Linked DNA regions of Macaca fascicularis. The protein of the gene in region 2 purifies or fractionates together with the protein of the main gene of each other region. This does not show direct contact. Links are inferred from orthologs where the notes say so. Each region holds a gene or a part of one and is shown on either strand. Other genes may lie near its edges.

Region 1 (4,255 bases), on a different chromosome or scaffold from region 2:
CAAATACATTACACAAACTGGATTCAGAGAACCTTTACCTCCATTTCCCTAAGGTATGTGTGAATATCCTCATGGTAGTCTGGTACTTCATTAACACTCACTGGCTTTTCATCTTCTAATACAATTGACATGTCCATAGTATGTGGTGACTCTGGGACAATTAAAAAGATATGATTAAATTAATTGTTTGTCTACTTAGTTTAATAGCTAAAAATGACTGCCCTTGTAAGGAATTTCATATTAACAAAGCACTTATTTCATCAAACTAAAAAGAGCTTCTCATGACGAAAAAGGTAGAATATTTTACCTTAGTCTCAGTATCTCTGTACATATAGCTTTGGAATGATTTTAGTTAATGAAGGGGGAAAGAAAACCATATTAGTAGGCCCCTAACAGGAAAACGAGAATCAGGTATTATCTTAAAGTATCCATCTTCCACAACAGAAAGGAGCAGATGGCATGGTGGTTCTGTTAGGACAGAACATTTAAAATCCAAGTTTTGAGATAATATCTAAGATTTGCCCTAAGAGAGACTGCAGATCCCAGAGTCTGACATATACAAAGCCCAATTAGGCGATAGCTAGAATCAGTTAAATGGCCTCCATTAACAAGTGTTATTAAGAAATTAGGTTTGTTATGGGCAAATGGATTAACACTATAAATTTATTTTTTGTAGTATAAATTATCTTTTGAAGCAAAGAGTATCATCCATTATTCTTTTCGCTTCAAAGATCACCTTGAGATTAAACATTTTCTGCAAAATTTTGATAAAAACACACAAATTATTATTTCCAAAGGACTTTTCCTGCTCACCCCTCCTTCCCCACGATCTATACAACTAAAACTAAAATGAGACTGGATTTAGTGAGCTGTCCAGTGACTCGATATCCCTAGGGCAAAGAAACAGTACAAACTGCAAAGAGCTGTTTGCAGCAGCTACTTTAATACATGGGTAAGAGTAAACAGCCATGGTACAACTGTTTACTTGTAGGAGGAAAAGTGTCACCTTCTGGTATCAGATGATAATCCAGACTGGTTTTATAGAAACAAAATTATAAAACTGGAAGAGATGTTATGTAATCACAATATTTAAGACTGCATCTTCAAATAGCACTCTCTAAGTGATATATAAGTGAGTTAAATAAAACTGAAATCTATTCTCCCAACCAAGAACACATTTATGGGATCAGATTAAAATAAGCATTTAAGATCTAATTATAATTAGACTGATGTGACTGGCAGTGAACCTGAAAGAGCACTAGGTTAGGATCCTTTTGTACATCACCAGGTCGAGTGTTAGCTGTGAGATCTGAGATAAGTCACATCCTTTCTAAGCCTTGTTACATTAAACCTAACTCACTGTAATCAAAATGACTACATAAGACATCTTAAAATGCAAATCATTAATATCTAATAATTATAATTACCGTAAATTCATATAGATTTTCCTTAAAACTTACCAAAACTACCATCCATTGGATAATCAAGAGGGACCAATGGTTTTCTGGGTCCAGGTAAACTAATGGCTGAATTAAAAGCCAGGGCATCTTCACGCTCCGTTTTTTGAGATTCAGCTGGCTTCTTCTGAGTCTCTTTTTCTGCTTCATCCACATGAATGGTGAACGCAGGCTGTTTACTGTTTGCTTTCCAAGGAGGAACGGTGACATGCTCATCATTTACAGGAAGATCCTTAAGGGGTGCAACCTAAACAAAAATAAATAACTGGCTTTGAGCCTACTAAATAGTTTTGCATTCTTTCTCTTATGGGTGTTGGCCTTTGCTTTTTCTCCCAAATACTCTATCAGGAATTAAACTTTCTGGGACAAACAATAGTTTGAGTATTCAAAAGAGAAGGGATGTTCCCATTTGTCACAGGCATTCCCACAAAGGCTATCAATAGATAACACTAGGTGGAATTATGCAAAACTAATCAGGGCCACAAGAAGGGTCGGGTGGCAAGTCAATACATGACAAGTTTAGGAAAGACATGGCAAAAAAGTGTTGGTTCACCACTGTCGCCCGAGGGTGGAGCAACAGAGCAAATCCGGCTAAAATGGCGGAATTTGCCAAAAGCAAAGTTATTTCGTACACCCTTTTCTAAAGTAGAGGTTATCTCTTAACCATGAGGAGGAGGGGGGTCAGAGTCCTACAGTAGTGCCTGGGGTTTAAAAGTGGAGAGAAAGGCGCGGAGCTGAGCGAAGACTACACGTTTTAGAGCTTGGTTTGACCCCATTATGTACAGGCAGATGCCACCTATAGAGAGCAGACAGGCAGCATACACAGTGTTGGCGGGGTCCTGATGCTAATAATGGGAGAATTCCTATTGTGGCATCCCACACACCAGCACCAAGTGGACTCCAGACTCTGGCCCCCTTCCAAAAGCCCAGGACATGCCTTCTCGCCACTCTTCTCTGCCTGCTAAGCCAGTGCCAAACCCTGCTCGACCCACCCTCCTGCAGACATCCCGCATCCCTTTACCCGTCGCGTCTTCGGCCTCTGCTGCTGCGCTAGACCCCGCGGGTTCCCGGCCTTCAGTACCGCCAGCGCGGCCCGGGTCCGCGGTTGCTGGACGGGCGCTGCCTTTTCCGGGTTGATATTCTCCTGGTCCTCTTGGAGCGCAGTCTGCTGCAATGCTAGTAGCGCTGAGCCCGCCTCGCGGGTCGCAGGCCCCGGCGCGGAGTTGCCCAACATCACTGCTCCCGGGAGTGGACGGCGGGATCAGCCTGCGGCGCCAAGCAGCGTGCACTCTGCCCAGCCCACCCGGCCAAAGAACAGTCGTAGCCGCCGGTCGCAGCCCAGGCCAGCCTACCCGCCCGCCCGCTCACCCAGCTCGAGACCACGCAGGGTCGAGGAGGTTGCGAAAGGCGCAGGAAGGCACGGCCGGGCGTGGCGGGCCAAAGACACCCCGAGATGTAGCGAGCAGCCCGCCGGAGCGGCGGCTGTTCTTGCAGTTCAAGTATCCCGCGACTATTGAAATGGACCAATGAAAGCGCTCGCGGCCTTGACGTCATTCGAGGCGACAGGGTCGCAAGCGAATGAAGGAAGCACCAAAGGACTCTGAGCAGGGGCGGGGCAGGAGGGAGAAACGAACTGGGGCTGGGGCGGGAGAAAACGCCTGCGCGGGTCGGGGAGAGCTAGGGGTACTCAGGGCCCGAGCTTCCGATTACTTTGAGCCACCTAGAGAGCGAGGCGGTCCAAAGGCTGACTCTAAGCCTTTTAGGGAATTAAGCGGAATTAAACTTTGGCGACTATCATTTGGGCTGCCCAGCCTTTAGCTCTGGGACCTCTAGTTAGCTCAAGTGACTTTTTCCCAAGGTCTAAAATCTGGACCACGTTTTTCAGTATCTCCGATTCTCCGTTTTCTTATTTGTTAATAGGGACTAATAACTACAGTCAAACGGTTATTAGGATTAAATAATGTGCATAAATTAACACGGAGCTCACATAGTAAGTAATACAGTACTCAAGTGTCAGACTGTAGTAATATCTTAACATTTAGGCATTTATTCATAGTAACCAGAAATTGTGTTTTATGCTTTTTATTTTTCCTAATGAAGATGCAATTAAGTGCCACCTTGAACTACTGTTGATATATATATAATAAATATACAATGCATTACAAAATATTCAAATAGAGTCATTAATTTTTATCTATTTTTCCCCAAGCTGTGGCAGCCAACAAAAAATACAATGACATTCTAGTGACCTAGATAAATTATGTTCCTTTCAGAAGTAAAGTTTCTTTAAATATAGTAAAAACAATATGATCTTATTAAAATAAAATTCTCTTAACTATATATGTGCCTGTAACAAATTTTAATATTTATATACAAAGCTTGCACGTACCTAGTAAGTATAATAGCATATCATTAAGAAGCATTGTTTTCTAAAAAATTAGTGAGTCTGCCCTTCTTGAAACAAAGCTTATTTTCCATTATCTTTATGCCATTTTAAGACGTTTCAATATTTCTTTGAAATTAATAAATATGAATTAAGATTAATGTACAAAACTTCTGTAGCCTTAATGTCATATATGATAAAAAGAGATCATACTGGTATAGGAAAATCTAAGATGGCATCACTATTTCTGCACTCTTCACTTGTAGCATGCTTGAATAGCTCCACTGGTTACAGCATGTCTAGTTAAGATCCCCCGACTCTGTGTAAGCTCTTATTTCCCTGACTACAATTTATAGCACTGAGCCAAGTCCAGCATTTCCACAAACTGCAGCAGAGTCATAAAACATCACCAAGC
Region 2 (3,648 bases):
TGTAAATGTGAAAAATGAAGAATTTCCAGTTTTTCTCATTTTCATTTAGACCAGTAATGAATACAGTGAAGCCAAAGGACAGCTTCCATCCTTCCTCGCTTTTATAGGAAGAGGAAAGTTGTATCACTTCTTGAATAAAAAACGATTGTGAAGATGATCTTTTAGAAACAATGCCTTAAAAATTATTATTTTTGAATGTATCTGGTAGGGGATCCACAATAGTCTCATTTGGTTATAAAAATAAATTTTATGTATTCATGTATGTGTTTTGATTAGGTATAAAATTAGTGGCTGAATATCCATTCAAGCTTAATTTTGTATTTCTATCACTTTTCTAGATTTTGTGCAAGATTAAAAATATAAACAATAGGCCGGGCGTGGGGGCTCACGCCTGTAATCCCAGCACTTTGGGAGGCCGAGGTGGGCGGGTCATGAGGTCAGGAGATCGAGACCATCCTGGCTAACACATTGAAACCCAGTCTCTACTAAAAATACAAAAAATTAGCCGGGCATGGTGGTGGGTGCCTGTAGTCCCAGATACTTGGGAGGCTGAGGCAGGAGAATGGTGTGAACCTGGGAGGCGTAGCTTGTAGTGAGCCGAGATGGTGCCGTTGCACTCCAGCCTGGGTGACAGAGCAAGACTCCATCTCAAAAAAAATAAAAAAAACAACAACAATAATATTGTTTCCATTACTATGGCTATGTAACAAATTGCCTTAAGGCTTTGGGGCAGAAAACAATTTGTTTGGCTCACAGCTTCTGTAAGGAATTCAGGCTGGGGACAGTGTGGATGTCAAGTTTCTGCATCAAAATGACTGGTATCTCACCTGGAAGACTTGAACAACTAGGTACTGGCAGAGCTGGAGCTCATTGGGCATCTCTGTATGTTTGTTCCATGTGGTCTCACCAGCATGGTGATCCAGGGTAGCTAAATTCTTTCATGTTGGTTCAGTACTCCCAAGGTACATGTCCTAAGAGAGAGAACCAAGTGGAATCTATATTGCCTTGTATAATCTTTAGTATTACATAGTTTCACTTCCACCTCTGCTGTTGATAGAGACAGTTAATCAATGTGAGAGATGCAGACCCTTGCCCAGGTCCAAGGTGAGGGAACCCTCTCTACCTCTCAGTGGAATAATGTCAATGTCACATTATAAGAAGAGCATATGGAACTGGGTACAGTGACTCAAACCTGTAATCCCAGCACTTTGGAAGGCCAAGGCAGATGGATCACTTGAGGCCAGGAGTTCAAGACCAGCTTGGGCAACATGGCAAAACCCTGTCTCTACAAAAAATACAAAAATTAGCCAGGTGTGGTGGCGCACGCCTGTAGTCCCAGCTACTTGGGAGGCTGAGGTAGGAGGATTGCTTGAACCTGGGAGGTGGAGGTTGCAGTGAGCCAAGATCGTGCCACTGTGCTCAAGCCTGGGTGACAGAGTGAGACTCCATCTCAAAAAAAAAAAAAGAGCATATGATATAGGGTCATCATTGAAAATAAGTTTCCCACAAAAATATAAACAACACTTTCAATTTAAATGTACTTTAAAAAATATTGAAATATATATATGTAGCTTATTAACTAAAAATCAATTTTCTCTTCTTTTACAGGGAAATGATCTTCATTGGTTAGCATGTGCCTTGTATGTGGCTTGCAGAAAATCTGTTCCAACTGTAAGCAAAGGGACAGTGGAAGGAAACTATGTATCTTTAACTAGAATCCTGAAATGTTCAGAGCAGAGGTAACTATGTTAGAGTTTGAGAAGTAGAGTATGGCTAATGTAAGCTCATAAATCATAGCGATAGTAAGAATTATGTCTGTTCATCATTTTCTGAGCATTTGTACCTGTGGACTGGTGAAATTAGATGCTAAAACTAGCATCTAATGATTTTCCTTTATTTGTATCAAAGTTAGTATCCCTTATATTTTACTTCTTTGGTGAAAATATTTAAATTTTAATGTATTAGGCACTTGTATGGAAGAATTTATTCTTAAAGGTTAGGACATTGTGTAACATTGGGAGAAATGAAGGATATTGAGAAACTTTAGGAGATACTCTAAGTTGAAAAGGCAAATAAAATATTATTTGCTATTATACTTAGAAATATGTGCACAGGACTTGTGGTCTTAATATAAATAGAATGAGTATTTCTCAGTTTCCTGTTTGGAGGATAAATGACATGATTATAATCCATTTTAGAAAGGGTCAAATATGTTTAAAAGAAGAGGCAGAAATTGCTTTATCTGTTGTGTAATTAAATTGATTACATTTATTTTTTGTGCCTTTTAGGTGAATTTTCTTACATAGCTTATTAAAGATAAGTGGAAAAATGATGTTTAGCATTTTGGGGGAAATTGCGACTCAAAATTTATGGATTTAATGGTTTTAAAAAAATCACTTACTAAATAAAAAAATTAACTGGGTGTGGTTGTGCATACCTGCAGGCCTAGCTACTTGGGAGGCTGAAATGGGAGGATCACTTGAGCCCTGAATGTTGGAGCAGTACTGCACTCCAGCTTGGGCAACAGCAAGACCTTGTCTCCAAAACAAAAAACAAAAAAGGTTACTATTTAAATAATTAACAGGCTGGGCGCGGTGGCTCACGCCTGTAATCCCAGCATTTTTGGAGGTCGAGGTGTGTGGATCACTTGAGGTCAGGAATTGGAGACCAGCCTGGTCAACATGGTGAAAGCCCGTCTCAACTAAAAAAAACGAAAATTAACTGAGTGTGGTGGCGTGCGCCTGTAATCTTAGCTACTCAGGAAGCTGAGGCAGGAAAATCACTTGTGCCCGGTAGGCAGAGGTTGCAGTGAGCCTAGATCATTGCACTATTGTACTCCAGCCTGGGTGACAAGAGTGAGACTCCATCTCAAATAAAATAAAATAATTCACAATGTCATGTTTTAGCTGACGTTGTCAATTTTAGTAATCTTTTTTTAACCTTTAACTCCATCCTGAGTTACATTGGCCAAAGAATCAGTATCCAGAATTATATAAGGAACTACTAACAGGGTTAATAAAATGAATAAAGAATATGACTTCACAAAGGTTATAATTTGTATAGCTAATAGATACAAGAAAAGATACTCAATGTCACTAATAAAGACTTTCAAAGTAGAAATATAACATTTCTTTTTTTTTTTTTTGAGGTGGAGTCTTGCTCTTTCACGCAGGCTGGAGTGCAGGGGCGTGATCTCAGCTCACTGCAATCTCCACCTCCCAGGTTCAAGCAATTCTCCTGCCTTGGCCTCCCAAGTAGCTGGGATTACAGGCACACGCCACCACACCTGGCTAATTTTTTGTATTTTTGGTAGAGACGGGGTTTCACCGTGTTGGCCAGGATGGTCTCCAACTCCCGACCTCAGGTGGTCCACCCGCCTTGGACTCCCAGAGTGCTGGGATTACAGGTGTGAGCCACCATGCCTGGCCAACATTTTATTCTTATTATTGGGAAAATTTGAAGTCTTTTATGCCAACTTTGGTCACTGTACAGGGAAACAGGAACTCTCTTTTTTTTTATTTTTCAATTCCCTTTTTTTTTTTTTTTTGAGATGGAGTCTCACTGTGCTGCCCAGGCTGGAGTGCAGTAGCTTGATCTCTACTTACTGCAACCTCTACTTCCCAGGTTCAAGTGATTCTTATGCTTCAG
Region 3 (3,814 bases), on a different chromosome or scaffold from region 2:
AGATTATGCCACTGCATTCCAGCCTGGGTGACAGAGCAAGACTCCGTCTCACAAAACATAAATACATTAATTAATTAAAATAAAGTTATACCACTGCCTCAACCAGATTCTGCACTCAGGTTGAGCCTCTGTCTCATAACTTCAGCTTTGGAACCAGACAGCCTGGGTTCAAATAATCAGCTCTGCAATTTCTTTGCTGTGTGCCTTTGAGCATGTGGCCTAACATCTCTGTGCCTCAGTTTCATTCTTTTTAAAATACGAATAAAAATAATATCTATCTGAGCCAGGCTCTATGGCACGTGCTTATAGCCCCAGCTATTTGGGAGGCTGAGACAGCAGGATCACTTGAGCCCAGGAGTTCAAAACCAGTCTGGACAACATCATGAGATCCTTTCTCAAGGAAAAAAAAATCACATCTACCCCTAAGAGTTATTGTGATAATTCAGTGAGTTATCATGTATAATACATAGGTATTTAAACCTTGCCACTGGGACAGGCACAGTGGCCCACACCGGTAATCCCAGCACTTTGGGAAGCCTAGATGGCTCACTGGAATCCAGGAGTTCAAGACCAGCCTGGTCAATATCGTGAGACTCCACCTCTATATAATTTTTTCTAATATCATATTAGAAAATTTATATCATAAATTTATATCATATTTATATATTATATCATATTAAAATTTATAATGATATAATTTATATCATATTAAAACACATTTTTTTAAAACCCAAAAGGCTCATAAGGTAAGGTGATTGGCTTTGCCTCCTGTCACAGTGCGATTGGGCGGGACAGCTCTGGAACTCAGAGCTCTTGGCATCACTCCAGCCATCTCTGCCTGCTGCACCCTTTCAGGCTGCCTGGGCCTGGCTCTGAGATTGGCCAGGGCAGATGGCACGCATGCCCCTCCCTGACCCAGTCTGCTGTCCACTTAGCTGGGGCCTGGGAGCTGACTCCTGCTGGGTTCCCTCTTGCCCCAGAGCTGGAGATGGCCAAAGCCCGGAACCAACTGGATGCCGTCTTGCAGTGTCTGCTGGAGAAGAGTCACATGGACAGGTAGGCCAGCGTGGGGTCACAGGGCCAGGCACCCTGGCAGGTTGGGGCCTCTGATCTTGGGTGGATTGGGTGGGACCCCAGAGGCTGACTTGGGGAGGAAGGTGCTTAATGGAGAGGCTGCTCGGTGCCTCCCTTCTCTGGGGCCCTGGAACCCTGAGCTGAGAGATCGCTTCTGCCTCTAGGGAGCGTCTGGATGAGGAAGCTGGGAAAACGCCCTCAGACACCCATAATAAGTGAGTTTTTCTGATTGGATTTGGAGCTGAGGGTTTGTGGTTGGTAACTTCTTCCCTTATCCAAGCCCTGACCGCTCAGCCCAGCACTACCTCCATCAAAGTCCTGACCACTCCACCTGTACAAAGACCCTGCAGCAGGAGCTTAGGTCCCCTCGCATTTGCCTCCTAGACCCCCACGGGTATGGGTGGGACAAAAGGCCCAAGAGGCAAGTGGGGTTCATGTGAGCATCTCAGGTTTGATACCAGTATCCCCAGGGTGCCCTCTGCAGGGTTTTGCACAGGCATTTGTCTGAGGGTCAACTGTCTTTCCCCACAGGGACTGCTCCATCGCAGCCACTGGCAAAAGGTAAGGTGGCAGGGTCCCAGCCAGCTGACTAGAGGCTCTCAGCTCCTACCCCAGTCCTGACACTCCCTCTCCCTACGCAGGCCATCTGCCCGCTTCCCCCACCAGCGGAGGAAGAAGAGGAGGGAGATGGATGACGGGCTGGCTGAGGGAGGGCCACAGCGATCCAGTGAGTAGACGGTGGCCCTAGAGGGTCGGCAAGGAGCTGAGGGCCTATGCGAGGATGCTCACACACCTCCCATCCCCACCCTCCCAGACACATATGTGATCAAGCTGTTCGACCGCAGCGTGGACTTGGCCCAGTTCAGCGAGAACACGCCACTGTACCCGATCTGCCGTGCCTGGATGCGAAACAGCCCCTCTGTGCGCGAGCGCGAATGCTCTCCCAGCTCACCCCTGCCCCCGCTGCCTGAGGATGAGGAGGTGGGATGGGTAGTGGACCCCAGCCCAGCAGCCTGGTGCCAGGGCAGTGGGTGGATAGGCTTAAAGGATCCTGCCCCTAAGCTAGAGGGGTAGACAGACACAGGTCCCTCACATGAATCCTGGATCAGGCCAGGCACACAGATGTGCACCCTTAGGCTGGGGTGTGGATCGAGGTCCCTAGGGAAGACATACATAGCCACCTGGCCTGGGGGACAGGGAACAGGGTTACCCTGGACAGTTAGATGTGGATCTCCAAGATCAGGGGTTCCCAAGAGCCGAGGGGCTAGACAAGGGTCCTTAGTACAGACAGAAGTGGCCACCAGGCCTTGAGGAGCAGATGGGCTGGGCAGGAACGGATGGGGGTCTATAAGCCATCTGGCCCAGGAGGGTAGACAAGGGTCCCCAGGACAGACATATAGGACCCTTCACGCTGTCAAAAATGGACAGAGCTTCCTAGGTGGCACAGATGTGACCCCGTGGACAGGATTCCCTGAGGCAGGCAGACGTGACTCCCTGGGCTGACAGGTGTAGATGGAGTTTCTGGGCTGGATAGGAGAAGACAGGGGTCCCTGGGGCAGGCGGACTTGACCCCCTGGCTGGTTGAGGTGTCTGCCCTTCAGACATGCCTCCTGTCTGAGTCCCTTAGTGAGCCCCTCATGCCATTTGTTGCTGGGAAAGGCAGGAGGGATGAATGTGGATTCCCAGCCCCTCTGCTTTGACTCTCTTGGGCCTGGCTTGGGGCCCTTGTGTCCCCAGGGCTCAGAGGTCAACAACAGCAAGAGTCGTGATGTGTACAAGCTGCCGCCACCCACACCCCCCGGGCCACCTGGAGATGCCTGCAGATCCCGCATCCCATCCCCACTGCAGCCTGAGATGCAGGGCACCCCTGATGATGAGGTGAGTATGCCAGGCTGGCCCAGGGTTATGGGACACATGTGGTGGGGCTCAGGAATGTCTACTCAACCTGGCCTCTCTGTCCATGCAGCCCTCTGAGCCCGAGCCCTCACCCTCCACACTCATCTATCGCAACATGCAGCGCTGGAAACGCATCCGCCAGAGGTGAGCGTCCCCCAACCTGCTTGCCCCTCCTAGGGCCTTTTGCAACTGCTGAGTCTTCCCTCTGCCTCCCCAGGTGGAAGGAGGCCTCTCATCGGAACCAGCTTCGTTACTCAGAAAGCATGAAGATCCTACGAGAGATGTACGAACGACAGTGATGTTCCCAGGTCCCCCCACCCCAGTAAACATCCCCCAACTCCACACTGGTGTCTGCTCCGGTCCATCCTTCCTGGCCCAGACACAAAGCAGTTGGCAGAGCTCTAGCACATTTATTGGGAGAGTGAGCCTGGGAAAGAGTAAGGGAGTGGTGGCAGGGAGAAAGGCTGTAGGGAATCAGAGCCGGTGCTCAGCTGGGTCTTGAAGGAGAAGAGGAGGAGGGTGAGAGGTGGGTTGCCGAGGATTATCTGGTTGAAGAAGACTTGGGGGTCAAGACAAAGGGACTTAGGGGGACGGGGTCTGGTTAGAGTTAGGGAGGGGGCCTAGGACATTCGTGCAGAGTCTGGGGAGGTTTGGGTGGGAGAGTCTGTACAGTTTGGGGTTGGGTGTTCTGGTTGGCCTGGGATAGGTGTCCAAGAATTAGGGTGGTCAGAAGAGGGTTCCAGAGTCTGGTGTGGCTGGCTGGGGTTTCACAGCAGAAAATGGGCTGGAGCGGGGCAGTTGTGGACTGTCTGGTCGTAGGGGAAGGATCAGGTCTTGGGAACCA

The links.
Region 1: the proteins of RBL2 (region 2) and CCNA2 purify together in Homo sapiens (affinity purification with mass spectrometry; 3 studies listed by BioGRID and IntAct, counting the BioPlex papers as one, with this or other methods). This does not show direct contact. The link is inferred for Macaca fascicularis from reciprocal best matches to the Homo sapiens genes RBL2 and CCNA2.
Region 3: the proteins of RBL2 (region 2) and LIN37 purify together in Homo sapiens (affinity purification with western blotting; 5 studies listed by BioGRID and IntAct, with this or other methods). This does not show direct contact. The link is inferred for Macaca fascicularis from reciprocal best matches to the Homo sapiens genes RBL2 and LIN37.

The regions. Positions count from the first base shown.
Region 1 is NC_088379.1:126,897,597-126,901,851, forward strand, and holds the start of CCNA2 (cyclin-A2), read right to left. Parts: upstream 2,930-4,255; 5' UTR 2,692-2,929; coding exon 2,479-2,691; intron 1,705-2,478; coding exon 1,461-1,704; intron 152-1,460; coding exon 39-151; intron 1-38. UniProt on the Homo sapiens protein: Cyclin which controls both the G1/S and the G2/M transition phases of the cell cycle. Functions through the formation of specific serine/threonine protein kinase holoenzyme complexes with the cyclin-dependent protein kinases CDK1 or CDK2.
Region 2 is NC_088394.1:49,426,599-49,430,246, forward strand, and holds part of RBL2 (retinoblastoma-like protein 2), read left to right. Parts: intron 1-1,608; coding exon 1,609-1,739; intron 1,740-3,648. UniProt on the Homo sapiens protein: Key regulator of entry into cell division. Directly involved in heterochromatin formation by maintaining overall chromatin structure and, in particular, that of constitutive heterochromatin by stabilizing histone methylation.
Region 3 is NC_088393.1:42,984,340-42,988,153, forward strand, and holds the end of LIN37 (protein lin-37 homolog), read left to right. Parts: intron 1-935; coding exon 936-1,056; intron 1,057-1,238; coding exon 1,239-1,289; intron 1,290-1,605; coding exon 1,606-1,635; intron 1,636-1,715; coding exon 1,716-1,801; intron 1,802-1,888; coding exon 1,889-2,055; intron 2,056-2,811; coding exon 2,812-2,952; intron 2,953-3,040; coding exon 3,041-3,114; intron 3,115-3,187; coding exon 3,188-3,269; 3' UTR 3,270-3,312; downstream 3,313-3,814.